Linked DNA regions of Drosophila melanogaster. The protein of the gene in region 1 interacts with the protein of each later gene in a pairwise test. Each region holds a gene or a part of one and is shown in the gene's direction. Other genes may lie near its edges.

Evidence for each region. Proteins that work in one complex are often made in the same cells at the same time.
Region 2: the proteins of CG6357 (region 1) and CG12546 interact in a two-hybrid assay, tested with the Drosophila melanogaster proteins (one large-scale study listed by BioGRID).
Region 3: the proteins of CG6357 (region 1) and Acat2 interact in a two-hybrid assay, tested with the Drosophila melanogaster proteins (one large-scale study listed by BioGRID).

What each region holds. Positions count from the first base shown.
Region 1 is NT_033778.4:13,835,424-13,844,069, forward strand, and holds CG6357 (uncharacterized protein), read left to right. Parts: upstream 1-4,629; 5' UTR 4,630-4,654; coding exon 4,655-4,882; intron 4,883-4,951; coding exon 4,952-5,221; intron 5,222-5,281; coding exon 5,282-5,551; intron 5,552-5,609; coding exon 5,610-5,894; intron 5,895-5,957; coding exon 5,958-6,224; 3' UTR 6,225-6,320; downstream 6,321-8,646. Other genes in the region: CtsL2 (cathepsin L2), read left to right, coding at 2,296-2,624, 3,066-3,795; Syngr (synaptogyrin), read right to left, coding at 7,861-7,913, 8,117-8,288, 8,351-8,490, 8,562-8,646.
Region 2 is NT_037436.4:22,690,487-22,695,349, reverse strand, and holds CG12546 (uncharacterized protein), read left to right. Parts: upstream 1-1,537; 5' UTR 1,538-1,560; coding exon 1,561-1,914; 3' UTR 1,915-2,026; downstream 2,027-4,863. Other genes in the region: CG14453 (uncharacterized protein), read right to left, coding at 847-1,248; CG14454 (uncharacterized protein), read left to right, coding at 2,838-3,200.
Region 3 is NT_037436.4:1,301,021-1,307,554, forward strand, and holds Acat2 (Acetyl-CoA acetyltransferase 2), read left to right. Parts: upstream 1-1,923; 5' UTR 1,924-2,030; coding exon 2,031-2,073; intron 2,074-2,167; coding exon 2,168-2,289; intron 2,290-2,360; coding exon 2,361-2,473; intron 2,474-2,527; coding exon 2,528-2,957; intron 2,958-3,017; coding exon 3,018-3,203; intron 3,204-3,259; coding exon 3,260-3,544; 3' UTR 3,545-3,697; downstream 3,698-6,534. Other genes in the region: Rac1, read right to left, coding at 748-1,326; Nt5a (5' nucleotidase A), read right to left, coding at 4,664-6,268.

The sequences.
Region 1 (8,646 bases):
CACTGGCCCAGTTCAGAAAAAAACACCCAAGCCCATATGCCCATGGAGCATCGTAAACGCCCCTCTAATGCCAACTTATCGTTTAGTCTTCAGGTTTTGTCTTCAGCGCAGGCATGATTAATCACAGTCATACTTTGTGGCGCCCATAAAAGTTGCAACAGCGTTGATAGATAGATACGTAGATGGAAAGATACATAGACAGATAGATAGATAGGCCCGTTGGAAGACTTGGCCAAATTGCTGTAAACCAAGTGCTAAGTGAGTTGTTTGGTAATTTCCATTGCGGTAGTCTAGCATATACTACAGGTAGTATATATTCGAAGTAGTAATGAGGGATCATCTTGAAATTTTGCAAATATGTAGGTAAGTCCATAAGGGATTTCAGCAGTCAATGAACTTTTTAGTAGACGCAACAACAAATTCAGATTCCACGAATCTGTTAATTGAAATGCAAATAAATTGGCCACTAATCAATCTCTTCATGGTTCAATTTCAATTTATAGTTATTGAAAGTCGAGACCATTATTCATCCGTCTGCATCTTTATCATTCTGTAATTGTATTATTTACATAAAAATCAAAGTGTTATTTATTTACAAGGGATATAATAGTACAAACTACTTAGAGACGCTTTAAAAACTTTCCTAAAACTTTGCTTGCTGCATTGAAATTTGTAATCCTATAGGCGCTACAACTGTGACTTCGATCTCATCAATTATTAACTATTTAAAAACATGTTTGACTATTTTCTCTTTTGTTTCAAATGAGTTAATATGCGTTGTTATAGCCACCAACACATTAGGCAATCGACAATTACTAAGCATGCATATAATGGAGACAGCTATAGACCCATAAACCAGATAGCCCGTCGAAATGAAGATGAATATGCTCTTGTCGGTATTCCAAAAGTTTCAAATTGGTGGCCCATCCAGTTTTGGCCATATGTCCCACGGTCCAGCTCCAGACTCTATAAAACCAAGGTGTGCGGGTCGAGCGCCGCTTATAATCTCGCCGGTCTTCGAGTCTTCAGCATCTTCGAATAGTTTTGTGATTTGTGAACGCGGAAGGTGTTTTGAACATATCATTCCCAGATATCCATAAAAGGTGATTAAGTCGATCTTTTCAACATATTGTGTCGTGTGTGTTGTTATTTTTCGATTCATAATGGTCCGTCGAAGACAAGAGAACTGCAATTGCTTACATTCGACTCGAAATTTGATTTTAAACAGGGGAATCCATCGCCTTTCACCGGGCACAGCATGTGATCAGTATTTTATGGCAACGAAAGTGAAATCTTAGCCTGCGGTTGCCTAATCTAGATTTGATTTTGATTTATTTGGGCCCTCGATGGAGCCAATTTGGGAGCTGAGGAAATAAAAGGAGAGACGAAGCCGCGAAATCATTCATACATTTCGAAATTCATCCGAATCGAATGCTTGCACTAATGTAATTATGCTAAGCATATGCAAATTAGCTCATTCACCCAGTAATTATTCACGTCTCATCGGTGATCGAATTCGTAAAACAGACCGGAAATACGAACAGCGAATGCTCTGCTAGTTTCAAAAGTCTATTTAATTTGGTAAGATCGAATAAAGTTGAGAAATTAAGACAGCGCATGATTAATTACCCATTAACGCGATTGCTGACAGAAGCGGATAGTCAGCGTGATAGAAAAAACCAATAATAATTAGTTTTTTATTCGTTTAATCGATCATTATGTTTTTGATTGTCTTAGAAACAATGTTGATTTCTGCATAGGCGATCATTAAACGGTTTAGTTTCTTCAAAACCAAGCTTGTTAAACAAACAATTTATTAGTTTCTTTGTTTTATTTTGGTTTTGCCAAACATTGTACTTACTCAAATTACTCAAAAAGACATAACATCATTTCTTATGTCAATGAAGACACTCCACTGAATATTTACCAATAAAAAGTATCTACTGGATAAACATTTTAATATCGAATAAACGCATAGATTTTGAGTGTGGCCTGTTTTCAAATTGTGCAGATTTTCTAGGAAGCAACGTTGCTTTTAATATGTCCATAAATAAATATTTATAGCGGCTCCACTTATAGGAAACTTCACGATCTGCACGGCAGGTTGGTTCGATTGGAGGTGAATGAACGGGTCGAGTTGCGGCCAAGTGATTAACGTTGACAGATAGATGTGGCAAGAAAAGGGGCATGAAAAGGGGTCGCGGGATGCGATGAGATGGGATGGGATGGTGTAACTATGTATTGGCCAAGTGGTTACCTAACGCTTTCCACTCGCTCTGCTGTCCACCGTTCCAGATGCGGATGTGCTCAACGATGTGGCTGCAGATGACGCTGGGACTGGCCCTGCTGGGTGCTGTGTCATTGCAGCAACTGCAGTCGTTTCCCAAGCTCTGCGATGTGCAAAACTTCGACGACTTCCTCCGGCAGACGGGCAAGGTGTACTCGGATGAGGAGCGAGTCTATCGCGAGAGCATCTTCGCGGCCAAGATGTCGCTGATCACGCTGAGCAATAAGAACGCCGACAACGGCGTGTCCGGATTCCGGCTGGGCGTCAATACGCTGGCCGACATGACCAGAAAGGAGATAGCCACCTTGCTGGGCTCCAAAATCTCCGAATTTGGCGAGTAAGTAGCACCATCTTACGCATATCTAGAGCTCGGGGGAAGTCCCCTTTTTGGCCATAAACGAATTATCACCCAGCTTATAACTTTCAAACGGGTTTCGGTATCGTCGTCCATATGATTTGTAACGTTACGTAGGTGCCGATTGGTTTCCCGGTTATGCTAATCAAGAAATCAGAATTGATCAAATATTCCGACCATAGGTTTGTGGTTTCCCGAAAACTATAACCAAATGGGTGGAAACAAACAAAACCCTTCCATATCGAACTTATTTATTACGACGAAGCTCCATAACAAATGTTTCATAACTTATCGGTTGTTTGTCATACATTTAAGAACATTATGAATAACATTTAAATGTAGTCTGGTTGCCACTTAAGTAAGCTACTAATTTGCTTTAATCTTTGCTTAACGGAATACTAAAATGTTTTACTTACCTTGCAGGAGATATACGAATGGCCATATCAACTTTGTGACTGCCAGGAATCCGGCGAGTGCCAATCTTCCCGAGATGTTCGATTGGCGCGAGAAGGGCGGAGTGACGCCACCGGGATTCCAGGGTGTGGGATGCGGTGCCTGCTGGTCGTTCGCCACCACAGGAGCGCTCGAAGGACATCTATTCCGGCGGACTGGAGTGCTGGCCTCGCTGTCGCAGCAGAATCTGGTGGACTGTGCCGATGACTACGGCAACATGGGCTGTGACGGTGGCTTCCAGGAGTACGGTTTCGAGTACATACGCGATCACGGTGTAACGCTGGCCAACAAATATCCGTACACACAGACGGAGATGCAGTGCCGTCAGAACGAAACCGCCGGACGTCCACCGCGCGAGAGTCTGGTGAAAATTCGCGATTATGCCACCATTACTCCCGGGGATGAGGAGAAGATGAAGGAGGTGATTGCCACGTTGGGACCGTTGGCGTGCTCCATGAACGCGGACACCATTTCGTTTGAGCAGTACAGCGGTGGCATCTACGAGGACGAGGAGTGCAATCAGGGCGAACTGAATCACTCGGTAACCGTGGTGGGCTATGGAACGGAAAATGGACGCGACTACTGGATCATCAAGAACTCGTACTCTCAGAATTGGGGCGAGGGCGGCTTTATGCGCATCCTCCGGAATGCAGGTGGATTCTGCGGCATCGCCAGCGAGTGCAGCTACCCCATTCTGTAGGCTCACAACTGCGCCATGCAATTAGTTAGATAGTATAGTCAATTAAAAACCACGAATTTATAACTTTGTTACTGTAGTCGTAAGCTGTGTGGGTCACCACATCGATTCCATGAGTCACGCGGTTAATAAATGAAACAAGTGCCTTATCGGTTTGTGTTGCTTTCTGGGGAAATTCTGAGAAATTGGATCGTAGTCTTAACGGCTATGCACACAAAAATTAATTTTCGGTCTTATTTATTTTTTGAGAAACATTTTCTTAATGAAGAACAACGCTGTGTGGGAAGTTGTTTGAGAAAGTAATAAATTTCAATTTGGCAAAGTGGATAGAAAATGAACAATGCACACATAACCGTATAACCGTGTAAATTTGCGACAAATTTAATATAAACAAGAAATAACGCTACAGTCGGGTGTCACGACTAATGCATACCCGTTAATCAGAAAAAGCTGCAAGCAGCGTAACGTTTGTTTACAGCATTTGTGTGGAAAACACATACATATCTAGAATGTAGTTGTTACATTCCTATCAACGAGCCTAGTATTCCCGCCGAGTAATGGGTATAAAAACGGGGCTTAAATTTCAAATTAATTTAATTCAATACTATTGCAACAAATCATAAAGCAATTATGCCAGTTGTTATATATTTGGTGGGCAAGGTCACGTAAATGCAGTTACTCTTTTAAAAGATCAACACTTAAGAGAAAAGAGAGCAAAAGAAATCGCTCTCGTTGTCGGTTTTTATTTAGATTTCTCTCTGAATGCAGCTGATTTTGAGTACTTGCAATTATATATGTATGTATTCCCCATATAATTCGCGATTCTGGCAGTGCGGAGCGCAGTACGAGAAAAGTGTTCAAGATGACCTCAGCTCGAATTTTACTTGGCGTCCCACTGCTCCTGTATTTGATGGGCGTGGCTCTGGGCGTACCAGTAAGCACATCATCACCTGCTACACAAAAAATCAATCCAGAGATTGGGGTTACTACTGGGAAAAGCGACGCTGACTCATCGACACCCACAATTGAACACACCTCTGGCTTATCTGAGTTCGAGGAGGAATGCCAGTTTGCATGGCAAAGGTTCTTGGTAAGTTTTTTGATCGCATAATTCCAAGAAAGGGTATCGTTCAAGGAAGTTATTTGTATACACTCCAAGGTCGACTTTGATGTACACTACGATAATGACTACGAACGGCAAAAGCGACGTGATATATTCTGCGAAAATTGGCAAAAAGTTCGCGATCACAATTTGAAATACGATTTGGGAGTTGTCAGCTTCAAGAAGGGTATCAACCAGTGGAGTGATCTTACCTTTGAAGAGTGGAAAGAGAAACAAACTCCCAAAGTTATGCCAGAAATCGCTAGTGAATCATCAAAGGAGGAGCGAGACAAAGTCAATTGCCAGGCTGCATGGGAAAAGTTTTTGGTAAGATTAGCTAGGTTATTAAAACCAACTTGGTATTAATATGTATGATATGAATTACAGATTGACTTTGGAGCGCAGTATAAGAATGCAAATGAAACCGAGAAACGCCGCAATGTATTTTGTGCAAACTGGAGGGCGATTGTGGAGCACAATGTGCAGTATGAAAAGTGGGCAGAGCCCTTCAAGAGGGACATAAATCAGTGGACTGATCATACTATTGAGGAACGATCTAGTCCTGCTCCCGAGATTCGTAAGGAAGAAGCCACTACATCTACATCCGAAATAGATAATGATAATATCATATGCCAGCCGGCTTGGGAGAAGTTCCTGGTAAGATATGGTTGGGTATTTAAAGAATTTTTATTAAAGTTGCTTTTATCAATTGCAGATTGACTTTAAGCCGTCTTATCAAGATGATACTGAAACCGAAAAGCGACGAAATGTATTTTGCGACAACTTTAAGTCGATACATAAGCACAATGTTCAATTCGATTTGGGAAATATTTCTTTTAAGAAGGGTATAAATCAGTGGAGTGATTTGACCGTTGAGGAGTGGAAAAACAAACAACGACCTGCTTTTAATCCAGAGTTTTCTAAAGTTGAAGCTACTACAAAAATATCTAAGGATAAGAGGGATGATAATACATGTCAGGCAGCATGGAAAAAGTTTTTGGTAATATTTGGCTTGCAATGTAAATAGAATTTGAGAATTTGAATGAATATATCTTTATTACAGATTGATTTCGGTGCGAAATATCAAGATGAAAAAGAAACAGAAAAACGCCGAACTATATTTTGCGACAATTGGAAAGCGATTCAGGAACACAATGAGCAGTTCGAATTGGGAGTGGAATCTTTCAAGAAGGGCATAAATCAGTGGAGTGATCTAACTGTAGAAGAGTGGAAAACCAAACAACGACCTAATTTAGCTCCAGAGTTTTCAAAAGAAGAAACGACTACAAAAATAAGCAAGGAGAAGAAATACAAAAAAAATGTTTTTTAAAAACTAGATGATAAGATATTGTACCGAGTACATTTTCAGATGAAATGTTTGTCACCTTTTAAATACACGCAAAAATATTGCTACTAACGCAAAGAGAATACCTTAGTGATTTTGGGTTAATTTTTAAAAATATGTATTTATTATTATTTCTTGAGGGGCTGTCCAGTTGAGAATCTTGCTTGAGGAGTTTATCTATTACAATAGTGTTTCGCAAATGTTCAAGCCGATTTTATGGCTGGGTTCGCTATTTAAATCGATCATTAAGTTTTAAATGAGTAAATTTTGTTTTATGTTTCTTTCACTACCTTTTTGTTTTATAACGCACACGAACTCTAAATGATTAATTTATACTTGTATATTTGCTGAGATCCCTATCTCCTTGTTGCATTTAACAGGGCGCATTATTCGTATTACACATACAATCCGTAAATATATATAATATATATGTATATAGTATTTAATTTAACAAATACATTTGTAGGTTATCGCAAGTTGCTGCACTAAGTGAACGTTTTTATGTAATCAATATGTTTACATTCATTGATATCTGAGTACATCGAAGTGGACAACACACCGCTTCTTTACAATGCATAATGGGTATTGTTGGGGCATTTATAGTTACTATACAAATCTTTTGGTAGGAAGGGGGTGGCAACAGTAAGCCTTGAACAAGCCCTATACCATTTCATATCTTCAGCGTGTTTTTGCGAACCATAACTAGAAATATTCCTGCAGTAATCTCCCGAGTACTGAATCCCTCACAACAATTCTACGGTTATTGAATCTCTTATGGTTTAGAATTTACATATTGTTTGGCGTTTATTGTAAGTGGTTGCATTTGCTGCTCATCTAACCAAGCATCGACCCTGGCCACAGGTTCTATATTTGTTGGGTAAATCTCAGATGGTAAATTGGATATGTGGCTTGAGCAGTGTGGTTCGTACATATGTATGTCCTTCAGGTGGCCGAATCGCATCAACTATTTGCATCAACTATTTGCACTGCACGTGTGTAAATTTATCTAAAAAAACATCATGTTTTCCTCTGTCTCGAGCTATTGCCATTGCTAACAAGCTGATCATCGGGGGGACCAGGGTCTGGCACCAAAACAAATCAATTCAAATCAATTCAAATGGTACGTACACGTAAACACTAAATAACTAACAACGTTGAAAGCGCGGTCTGCATGTATACATATGGGATATATAACTAGTTGTATATCTGTATAATATATATATATATATATATATATATATATATTGCAACAAATTTCCACTACAAAAAACTGCACACTCAACTTAAAGGGCTAGCTTACGAGTTATTCAAACTACTCCTTATCCGAACCATCCCATCTCATCCCATCCGATCTCATATCGGATCGGATCGGTTTGGATATATCCCTTGACTCTTCCAATAGCTAAAGCCAGTGCTTGGATTGGTTTCAGCTGCTTTTGCTGCCTGCTTGTTGCATCAAGTGTTATTGTTTTGGTTACTCTTGTTATATGTTCGACATCGGTGTATATGGTTAAAGCCAACTTGTGTGTTGTAGCTGTTTAGTCGTGTAAATCCTTGCCAGTTGCACTACAAAATCGAAGTGAGTGTGTGCGGACAACGGAGGAGCAAGTGTGGTAATTCCTTAATAGGTGGGCTGCTGGTACTCCATTCCGGATTGTTGCTGCTCCATGCCACCTGCGGGAGAAAAACTCAGATTAATCAGGTGCCAAGTGTGGGAGAATCATCAGATTACATATTATAATGGTTAACATCAGTTAAGAACTAAGAATGATTAGGTACTTTCAATATATTGTACATAATGATCTAGGAATGGCAAGTTTATATCCCATCTTATATCCCAACTTATACTTTGGCATTGTATTAGACCATGAACTTACCCTGCTGGGGCTGGCCAAATGGTGAGGCGCTGTACTGGTCGTTGTCGTTGTCCATGGAGTAGCCGTAGGCCTGCTGGTGGACCACGTTGGCGGGATCCGTTTCGAAGGCAGAGGTGAACTCATCGCCGGCGCCGATCAGGAAACGCTTGTAAGCCATCAGGGCGCACAGAGCCTGCAGAAAGAAGCCCAAAAATCAGGAAACTTCTCCAACCAAATATGCAGAAATCTACTAACCCAGCTGACAATCGAGAAGAGGCAGAACCAAATGGCGGTCTTCATGCTGCCAGCTCCGATTCCCAGCGGCGGTGGGGCGGATGAGCTCCATTGCGACCACAAGTACAAGAAGGCCACGAAGTACATGAATGTCCAGAGGGCTGCGACGATGGATTGCCATTAGTTATGTGCTGTCAGAGGAATATATGCATATTTGGCCAGAACTACTTACCCGAGAAACCCATGTCGGCCATGACATAACGCTTTCTGCTCTTCACCGACGACATCCGTTCGAACAGGAACTCGCCACCCATGAA
Region 2 (4,863 bases), on another chromosome or scaffold:
CTCCCCCTTTGGAACCATGGAAGCTATTAATTTAGCTTACTAAAGTTATCTGTATCTAAAATCTAAAAAACAAAAAGGGACAATAACAGTTGTATAAAGGACAGGGTCTACTGGCCCTCCTTGAAGGAGATCGAAGAATGAGGTCTTTCGGTTGCCTTCTATTAAGCCTCATTGGTGGGCGTGTACTATACAGGGTATTTGCCAGACTATTCCTGTGGTGCCTTAGCCTTTCATAGTAGAGACTCGAGTGCTGGTTTATTTAATGAAATACACATATACACAACCAGTGACCAATTTCGCAGCCCTATTCTGGATAACCTGGATCCTATTGAGTTGGTTTTCACAAGCCAAGCCCCAAGGATCTATAATCCTTTTGTGGATAGTCAACTTATTTGATAGCGACAATTTAGTTTACAATTTCGTGCTTTGCCATCTTAGCACGTTTTCGTGATTTTAAGTCCGTATTATCTTTGGCAAATAATAATAATTTGAAAAACGTAACATGGTCTCTAAGATTATAGTGCATTTGAGTTAATAATTAGACACGACACAATCATCAATTGAGAAAGCAGACATACTTTACTTAGTTTTGCCAGAACAGAAAGCTTGAACAGACTGAAAAAACAAACAACTCCATTTCAGAAATTCCCATTGAGGTAAGAGACCCCCTCTAAGTTGTAAATATAAATAATTTATTTTTTAAAATTTTCTTTATTTTTAAAAAACGGAATATCCCACAGCAACGCAACTGCAATTTAGTTAAAACATCAATCTTTGGCTTGTATTAGCTGTCTGACTCGACAGGTTTCTAGCTGCAGCAGCCTCCTCTTCGACTGTAGCAATCGTCTATCCACTGCGCTGCCTTTGCTGGCGTCTTCTGCGCTGCTGTTGGCGGCGGCGCCTTTGGCGCTGTTGGCGCCTTTGGCGCTGTTGGCGCCTGCGCCGTTGGCGGGCCAAGCGACGACGACGGGCGGCGGCCCTGCGACGACGGGCGGCCGCGCTGGAGGACGACGACGAGGACGAGGACGAAGAAGTGGTGGTAGTCGTGGCAGACGAGGCCACTGTGGTGGTGTCGGAAGACGTTGAGGCTTCAGTTGTGTCGGAGGAAGAGGACGCGGTAGTGGAGGTGTCCGAGGCGCTGGTACTATCCGAGGAGCTTTCAGTGCTCGTTCCCGTAGCTTCGCAGCCCTGCTGGGCAAACAGGAGGCAGCCGAGAAGGGCCAAGAGCAGAACAAATATGAATCGCATTCTAAGCAGTTATATCTTATGATTTGGAGAATAGCCTATTTATATGATGTTGAACCCGGAAACTTGGTTGAGAAACGCGCTCATTACCGTAAATCTATTACATTATTATGTGTGTTAAGACTCAAGAGCAACGTTTAAACTATATGGCGGCACACATAATTTCTCAATCTGAATAAACATTACCAAAATTTACCTTAGTTAAAGCTAACAATCCAGCAGACCTATTAGCTTACACGCTTTTGGTAAACCACCATTATTCAAATTTGCTATAAAAACATGCGTAACGTCTCAAATGCGTCAAAGACATTCAGCATGCGCTTCTCGATCGTAATTGTTCTTTCCGTCCTAGGATGCCTCCTGCTTAGCCAGGAGGGCAGTAGCAGCACATCTACATCCTCGACGACGACCACAACCACCGACTCCTCTGCCACCACTACCACGGCTTCGTCCGCCACCACTACCACCACTGCCTCTTCCGCATCCACCACGACCACTGCCTCCTCCTCATCCTCTTCCTCTGCGGAGGCCAGGAGGCGCAGGCGCGCCCGTCGCCGTCGTCTGGCGCGTGAGAGGCAACGAAGGGAGCGCAGAAGGCAGCGCAGGACTCAGAGGCTGCGCCAGCAACTGGAGAATCAACGTCGACAGATCAACCAGCTGAGCGGATGAAGGTCTTCGGAAAGACTCGGCTTATGACAATTTAGGAAAAGCTGTTGTAAATATGTGAAAGCTAAATTCTTTCATTGTTCAAGTTCGCCAAGATAATAAAACATTTGATTGTACATTCTGATAATTCTACTTTATTGGAGCACAAAAACGTGTGGGAGTGGCATATTTAAGCGGCTTGAGGGAGTTCAACGTTCTCAACTCTCTAGCTTTTAGAGTTGCTGAGGTCGAGACATTCGTTCGGACAGACGGAGTAATAGTGATCAAGCATATACATATGTATAATTAATAGGGTCGGAAACGCCTGTTACATACTTTTCAACAAATCTAGTTTAGTCTCATTCCAGGAGTAGCCTGTTTCAAATCGAGACGAATTTTGAAATCGGTAACTGGTATAAAATTAATATAATTATACACATCTTTGTTGTGTTTGGTTTAAAAATAATGTAAACCACGTATTTGTTTTTTTGGAAAATAAATCTCTAATTTCGGAGAACTTAAATGGATATAAGCCAAAATGCAACAGCACAAAACTGTTAATTGGGTACGCAAAGCTCAAATGAAGAACAAATAAAACACCTTTAACTCGTCAAGTGCTGCGATTTTTACTCAGATAAGATGTGAATGTACATAAATAGGTTATACCAAATATTTCCTTCAGACGTGACGTGGTCGCCATACATAATTAGGCGTAAGAAGCGTTATAATATTACCTTTTTATCTCGTTTTCAACGAGTTAAACCCGGCTCACTATCAATAATATATCGATCGACTCTTTTACTCTGTTGACCTTACAAGCCCAAGACATTGACGAGCTGGATAGGCTGTGCACACATTTCCGATTTCCGATACATGATATTTGTTTAATTGTTACCCCGTATTGAGTATAAAAGGCCGTCTGATTAGATTAGATTAGACACAACAAAATGCGCTTCCTATTCGCTCTACTTCTCAGCGTGCTCCTGTGTCTGCTCCTGGCTCAGGAGGGCAGTAGCAGCACATCTACATCCTCGACGGCGACCACATCCACCGACTCCTCTGCCACCACTACCACGGCTTCATCCGCCACCACCACTACCACCACTGCCTCCTCCGCATCCACCACGACCACTGCCTCCTCTTCCTCCTCCTCGGCGGAGGCCAGGAGGCGCAGACGTGCTCGCCGTCGTCGCCTGGCTCGTGAGCGCCGTCGTCGCCAGGAGCGGAGACAGCGCCAGGAAAAGAGGAGGCGCAGGATGGAGCAGCTGCTGGTGAGGCAGCGTCGCCTGATCAATCAGCTTCAGGGATAAGTGGGGGCTTGGTCCCTTAAGATAGAATCTTCGGCCGTTCAATAGAAATATAAGCGCTGCACCAACTAATCAGATTATTAGATTGATCTCTTTCTTTGGAGGTATTTTTGAGAAGGCATGCCTGCAGCGTTGAGCAAGGTTTCGTTGTGGGCATTAGAGCATTTAAGACGTTTCCACAGGCATTCCCACGCACATCTACATATTCTATCCGACAAGCGGCGAATCCGCGCAATTCCAAGGCGGCAGACAATTGGCCCTATCCCTGGAGTTTATTATACCAGAGCTTGAGCGCTCGAAAATGCTTTTCTTGCAGCCAAGCTCAGCAGTCAGCCCGCCTGGAATCAAATCAAATAAAATATTCATTTTGGTCTTTGAACTGTGCATAAATGTGCTGCTGTTCACGAAGTGATGGAGCCACCCAAGCCCTGGATACTTAAATCTATTGGATGTGAATAAAAATTACGCTGAATGTGTGCATATATAAAGAGTGCGGTTTGGTGACGGCACGTCATCATATTCTTAGACGTTTCAAAAAGCCAAGGATAACATAGAGACTGACAGGGGGAATCGATGTTTTTTGGTCTTTTTTTTTTTTGCATAACTGCTTGAAAGCAGTTCAAGATTGGGGTTATATTCTGTTAACAATATTCGAATCCACATTTGCTTCTTTGTGCCCATTAATTGCTCAGATCAGACGCATAGAGAATGCCGCCATCTCTGAAGGCTGAAGAAATTTTTTATCGGATTTTCTCGCTACAAAATTGCATTTCAGGGAACTTCGTCCGCAGACTGGGCAGCAATTGAGGGAAACGAAAATAAGCAAAATGCCGCCAGCCAAAAGGTAAAGTACGTTAGGCTGGGCCAACCCTTATTGTTGTCATTTTCCAGATTGCCATTCTGCCATCAATGCCGATTCTAAGCACAAAACGGAGAAAAATGTGTTCTTTCCATCAGATTATTTCCTTCAGATCCGAACCCCTTTTTTAAATTGCTGTGGCATGCGAAATCTTAAAGGAGTCGTAGATTAATGCCCATTTAAACAAATCCTTCAGACATTTTGAGTAACTAAACCTGAACAAGAAAAGGAACTTGTTTTTGCACTAATTGTGGTTTCAGGTGAGTAAATCAAATAATCTGGCACTGTACTGCCGAGAACATTGAAACATAGTTAGAGAACCCGCTTCCACCGCAACAGGGCATTGGCTTTGTACAAGATTTAAATGCGCTAGAAATTGTTTGAACTAAGCTCTGGAAACAGGAGATTTATTGTCCCGAAAAGGAAAGCTCTCCCTCCGCAGTGTACCACCACACTGCCCTTGGCATTATCAACGAATTCAATAAACCTACAGCAGAGGCAACAGTTTCATGTCGTGGACATTGGAAACGGGAATTGGATGCCTAATAACATCGGGATCTGTGATTTATACCAGGCCAGTGTGAAATGCTAAAACATTTCCTCAGCTGCAAGCTATGTGAAGGTCCTCTGTTCCTGTAGCAACAACTTAATGCGCAACAACAAGCTGCGATGTTGTGACCAATTGAAAACTCCACCAAACGGCAACGAAGCTAAAAAAATATTCGGCCAGCTGGGAAAGAGAAATGTTTTGTTTAGCTTAGTTTCCTTTTTTGTTTGTTCAACTAGAGACTCGAGGCTCTGAAATTG
Region 3 (6,534 bases), on another chromosome or scaffold:
TGCCTTTAATTCAGTACATAGTATACGAAGGACTTTTCATCTTATACATACATGTATATATATTGATAGTTCCTGGATCTAGCAAAAGTTTAAAAAGTTGTTACTCGCCCGCGCCGTCGCTTCGATATCCAACAACATCTAAATACAAGTATGTAATAATGTAAGTGTAATTGCAATGGAACGTTTACTTTACTGACTCAATATCCTGATCCCTTCCGCAGGACCTTCGATCAACATCTATGCGACATCTATGCTTTATGCTCATTATGCGGCTATTCTCGTACTTGTCTCACATTTTTTTTAGGTTTTTCGTTTGTTTTTTTTTTTTTGTTTTGTTTTGTTTTTGGTTTTACCTCAGTTTTACAACATTAATTTTAATTACAAAAGTTATTAAATAATACAAAATACAGTTAGAGTTTACAGTTCTCCATTTCGTCTAGAAACATCTCGCTTTTAACTTTTAGTTGAAATTAATGCACGAATAAACAGAATAATTGGATTATGAATTACAGAACACTCGAAACAAACTCAGAACTCGGAAACGAAACAAAAGCAAGAGTTGGGTTGGGTTGGGTTGGGGGAATCCCCCCCTAGCAGCGGAAATTAGTGGCAAAATTGTAACAAAGAAACTACGGATGAGCCATTTAGCCTGGCCACGCTTAGGTTACATAATGGTTTTATAGTTAATAATATTACGTTTAAGCAGAGTCCGTCGGTGGAACACCACCGACCAACTGTCTAACTCTTTTAGAGCAGGGCGCACTTGCGCTTGGACTTGGGCTGCAGCACGGGGCACAAAACCGACCGGATGGCCTCGTCGAAAACGGTTTTCAGACCCTTCTGCGTCAGGGCCGAGCACTCCAGATACTTGACCGCTCCGATTTCCTTGGCCATGGCCAGGCCCTGCGGATAGGTGATGGGCGCCAGTTTCTTGTCCCTCAGCTTTTCGATTGTGTTCTTGTCGTCGCGCAAATCCAGCTTGGTGCCCACCAGGATGATGGGCGTGCTGGGGCAGTGGTGGCGCACCTCCGGATACCACTTGGCCCGCACGTTCTCGAACGATGCCGGATTCACCAGCGAGAAGCAGATGAGGAAGACATCGGTCTGGGGATAAGACAGTGGCCTCAGTCGGTCGTAGTCCTCCTGCCCGGCCGTATCCCACAGGCCCAGGTTGATGGGCTTGGCGTCCACCATCACGTTGGCCGAGTAGTTGTCGAACACGGTGGGTATGTACTCGCCGGGAAAGGCATTGGTCGTGTAGCTGATCAGCAGGCAGGTCTTTCCCACGGCTCCGTCGCCCACGACGACGCACTTGATCGCCTGCATGGTTCGATTTCCTCGACTTTCTGGACTGGAGTGCTATGTGCCTAGAGATTGGAGATTGAAGATTGCAGATTTCTGATTGCGGGGGTGCTTCTTCTTCAGGCGTTTTTGGTTCTTTTTGGGGCGGCGGCGGAGGACTGTTGCTTGCGTGGGTCCTTTTGCGGGGTTATCTCTGGAAGCGCGACTCCTTTTCCAGTGCCTTGTGGTCCTCGGGGCGACTGATGATCGCGCCTTACGTTCTGGGCCTCTTTAACTCGCGTTTTGTGCGTTAATTTCCCTAATTTTCTCAACAAAAAAAGTAAATTTTCTGTGTACTGCAGTGTGACCGCGGCTGGACTGTTCAAATTTACCATGGGAAAGCTGTAAAATACTAAAACAAATTAAAACTGCATTGAAATGGTCACCCTAAGATTTGTAAATTATTTCAAGGCTTCGTCCTTAAAGCAAACATAAAACCCTTAAGTTTCGCATTTACTTATAATTAAATCCGAATTACAAAATATATAATTTCATTGTCTTCCTGTTTATGTCAGTGATTTGAAGTGAGAACAAGCTGTTTTTAGTAGGGCTGGGCCCCAGAAGTGCAGCTTCTGGGCTTTGGCTGCACCTGGTCACACTTCTGGCAGCAAATAATACAATTTCGAAAATTAGAATTTATTTGCTGCTCAATAGCCAAGTCAATAACACCTGTTCCTTGCCCATCCAGAATGTCTGACGTGTTCATCGTGTCCGCCGCCCGCACGCCCATTGGTAAAACCAAGATAAATCGGCTGCACCATACACGATAACCACATTCTAATTGGAAACTTTCTCTTCGTGTTTGTCCAATCTGAAAAATCAACAGGTAGCTTCAATGGAACGCTTTCTAAACTGAAGGCCTCCGACCTGGGCAGCGTGGTCATCCAGGAGGTACTCCGGCGGGCGAATGTGGAGGGCCAGGAGGTCAACGAAGTCATCTTGGGCCAGGTGGGACCCATATCATAACTGTTTCTCCTCCTATCTTACCGATCTATTTGTTATGTAAATATCTTTGTTAGGCTCTAAGCGCCGGTCAGGGTCAGAATCCAGCACGTCAGGCTTCACTCAAGGCGGGTCTGCCCATTCAGGTGCCAGCCTACGGCATAAACATGCTATGTGGTTCCGGCTTAAAGTGAGTTTGTCCCGTACAATTCCGTACATTTACAATGGTTTTTACCATTTCCAGAACTGTAGCGCTGGGTTACCAGGCCATCCGCTCGGGAGACGCACAGATTGTTGTGGCAGGAGGTCAGGAGAGCATGTCCCTGGCTCCACACGTCATGCATCTGCGGCAGGGCGTCAAAATGGGTCCGGGCACTATGGTGGACTCGATGATCCACGACGGCCTAACCGATGCCATGGAGAACATACACATGGGCATCACTGCCGAGAATCTGGCCGATAAGTATAACATCAGTCGTGAGGCCCAGGATGCCTATGCCGTGCTGTCGCAAAATCGAGCCGAGGAGGCCCAAAAAAAGGGTTACTTCGACAAGGAGATTGTGCCCGTGGAGATCAAGGATCGCAAGGGTACGACCACATTCAGCAAGGATGAGTACATCAAGGCGGGCAGCACCGTCGAGGGTATACAGAAGCTCAGGGCAGCCTTCAAAGAGGTGGGTCTAAGATAAATACAAGAAGAGCGAGAGTTAACCCACTTTCTCTTGCTTATGTAGGGCGGCTCTATAACCGCTGGCAATGCCTCAGGCGTCAACGACTCCGCTGCTGCCGTACTACTGATGTCCGGCGAGGAGGTGGCCAGGAAGGGTCTTAAGCCGCTGGCTAGGATTGTGGGCTGGACTCAGAGTGGCATTGAGCCAAAGGTGATGGGACTGGGACCAGTCACAGCTGTGGAAGCATTGGTAGTTACACGGAAATTCCACTTCTATACATGCTCCTAAGTTTTCACATTTTTCAGCTTCAAAAGATTAACTGGAAGCGTGAGGAAGTGGATCTTTACGAGCTGAACGAAGCATTCGCCGCCCAATCACTGGCTGTCCTGCAGGACCTGCAGCTGGATGCTCAGAAAGTAAATGTCAATGGCGGTGCCATTGCCCTGGGCCACCCGATTGGAGCTTCAGGTGCCCGTGTCTTGGTCACTTTGCTCTATGCGCTGGAGCGCACCGGTGGAAGAAAGGGAATCGCATCGCTCTGCATCGGTGGCGGCATGGGAATCGCCCTGGCCGTGGAGCGCCTCAGCTAGTCTTAATTCATTGTCATTCAAGCTATTTATTGCCTTTTCCTGTTTCCCACTTAAGTGTAAAGTTTATTTCTCTATTCGCGTAGTATTCGCACGTACTTAAAGGCACAACCTCCCAAGTCGCAAAATCTACTCAATTAAAATTCAATTGAAAATACTTGCATTGCAGCATATTTTTAGCTGTTGAAAAGAGGAATTGTATACATTTTTCCAGTTGCGTCAGCTGAAAACTATTTATAAAACAGCATTTGTTATGATGATGCACAACCGATTTATTTGCTTTTGTTTCTGTTTCTACACTAGAAATTATTTGTACATTGTAAATTCAATTAGCTATTAACTGCAAGTCGGAGAGAACAGTATTGGGTCGATTCCTTGCTATTTTAAAATAAGTAAGGGCATTGCATCATTATAAAATAGGTAGGCTGACAAAACTAGTAACTATCCAAATGTAAACTTATACATTTAATTGAGCTAACGCTTGAGTTAAATAGCATTGCTTGAGAACAAGACACCCTCTTTTCCGCTCATTGTCACATGTATCATTTCATATGTAGACTCCGAGCTCTCCGAGTACTTTTCCAGTACCAGTAACAGGTAACTTGTTTAGATCTTCAGCATAAGCATCGCGGTCATCGAAGGTCCCACTGCCCAAAGATCGAAAAAATAAATATAGTATTTACAGAGACACTACTGGCGATTTATAAACACTCTTCGTAATTTCTTATCGTGGAAGTTAGTTATTTATTGTGCCAATAACAATAATATCGGGCATAGTTGTGGCCTTTGGAATAAGACCACGAATCTCGCATTTCGCAAAGGGGAGAGCCCAAAATATAATACAGTAAACATATTACAAAAGTACTAGCTATTGCTGACATGAATTTGTTAAGGGGAACTAAACTAGTTGTAAGTCTAGTGTGGAAAATCTTATTGCTATGGCGTACACTGTAGAGGCTAAATTGAATAATTCAGAATCTCGCGTTTTTATTGCTATTATCAAATACAATTGTTTGTACGTAAGAATTTAAAGAGGCTTCCACTGATAGAAGCCTTATCGGATTTACCGCGCCTCGGAATCGCAGGTCGGTTATTGTCTCTAGGAAGATGATAGCAAGGCGCCTATCCACGCCAGCAGCTCTTCAGCTGCACAGTCTCCAGCTCCTTGGGCAGCCGCGGACTGAAGCCATACGGATTGTGGCAAACGATTCGCTTATCTGGCGCAGTCTGCGCCACTTGCTCCACCGTGGGCACGCACAACTGGGCATAGCTGCTGATGAAGCTGGACCACAGAGTTGGTGTGCAGTCCAGGGCAAAGTATGGTCCCCACAGCTGGGAGTCCAATTCGGCAGCATACGGATATTTACCATCCTCAAGGAGCAGCTCCTCGGCTATGGCCACGGCATCGAAGTCGCGGTGTTTCACCGGTGTGTAAACATCCTGGATTATGTTATCACCGAAGTATAGTGCCTTGGCTTCAGAGGGCTTCTTCTGGAGCATTCCAGCCATGGCAGTGTGCAGCTGGTGCCAGTTGCCTTGCGAGTAGACCTCGCCCGCCTTTATGTTGTCTGCCTCTTGCGGCAGTTCTGCCAGTTTTTCCACATCCACCTGCATGAACGGACGCTGCATGGTAAAGAACCCTGGTTTCTTGGCGTATGTTACCACGAAATCGAAGTATTTGCGCCAATCCTTGCCCAGCGCCTGCGTGGCCGTCAAATTGGCGAAGTCCACGTTGGAGCCGGTGAGCAAAAATAGCTTCTTGCCGGATTTTCGCAGTTCCCCGAGCCAGTTCATCACACTGGGATCTGTTCGGAGCACAAATCGTTCCGGTTCCGCTCGCATGCTCTTGAAATAGAGACTCTGGTCGTTGGCGAAGTTCTCCCGACTGTAGATGTTCATCAGGCCAGCCTGAACATCTTGCCAGACCTGATACTCCTCTCCTGCCGATGGCTTCTTTCCCCTATCGACCAGATCCACCGCCTGGGCAAAGACCAAGGCACTGGGCATATCAAAGTAATCCAATAGCGAGCGCATTTGCGTCGAGGCGTCGCCATTCCAGGTGGACAGGGGGTCCCTGTAGAAGGCAGTGGTGATTTCCCACCTTCGATCTCTTCCATAGATGGCTTGAATTTCTGTGTCGCTTAGTAGACGGGTGCCATGGGTGGCTCGCAGGATCTGGGCCTCACTGCTCAGCTTCAGCACATTGCCACGCGGTCCGTCCAGGAACAGGCCCTTCTGCAGAAAGTCCAAGTTGAGCGATTGAAGGAGTAGATCCCTGTCATAGCCCTTCTGCTCTACGAGGAACTGCTTGAGCACCTGATAGATCAGAGCGGACATCTCGTGGAGATTGTAGCGCAGAAGGGTGCCGTCCAGGTCGAAGCCCACTATTCCATAATCCTTTAGGAGCAGCTCCTTGTGATAGGATGTCATGATGGTGCTGGCCGAATACCTTGAGTTTCCCCCTGCAGATTTGTGGAAGCGCCTAACTGTCTGCTGCTGACCCGTCACTTCTCGTGTTGCTCTTCCCACTGCTGCCGGCGGTGTTCTGACTAACGTCATTGAATTTTGCGCCAATTTATCGAGATTGCGTAACAGGAGACGAACATCTGTTTGGGCCTGTTTGTGTACGTTTGTTTTTGTTTTCGTTTTCGTTTTCGTGGCCAGTCGAAGTGAAAGGGCAGGGGCGGAAAAGGCGCCCACGGTGGCTGCTCTGCCCAGCGCCAGCATCTTATCTTATCAACTAGCACATCTCATTTGTCCGAAGCGTGATCTAAATTTAAAATTAAGCCGAAATTCACTATCACTTAGGTAGTCCTCACAAAATCATTTTTCATCTATAAATGTATGTCTACAACTGCCAGAGCTGCCAACCTTTTGAAGTTGAGCAGTACTGACTTACTTCCTTGGCTTATTCCTAGCTAGATTTAGCTAGGTATAAGCAAGTGTAAGCTATCGGAACTCGATAGCAGCTTAGGTATCGTTGGCGCAATCGA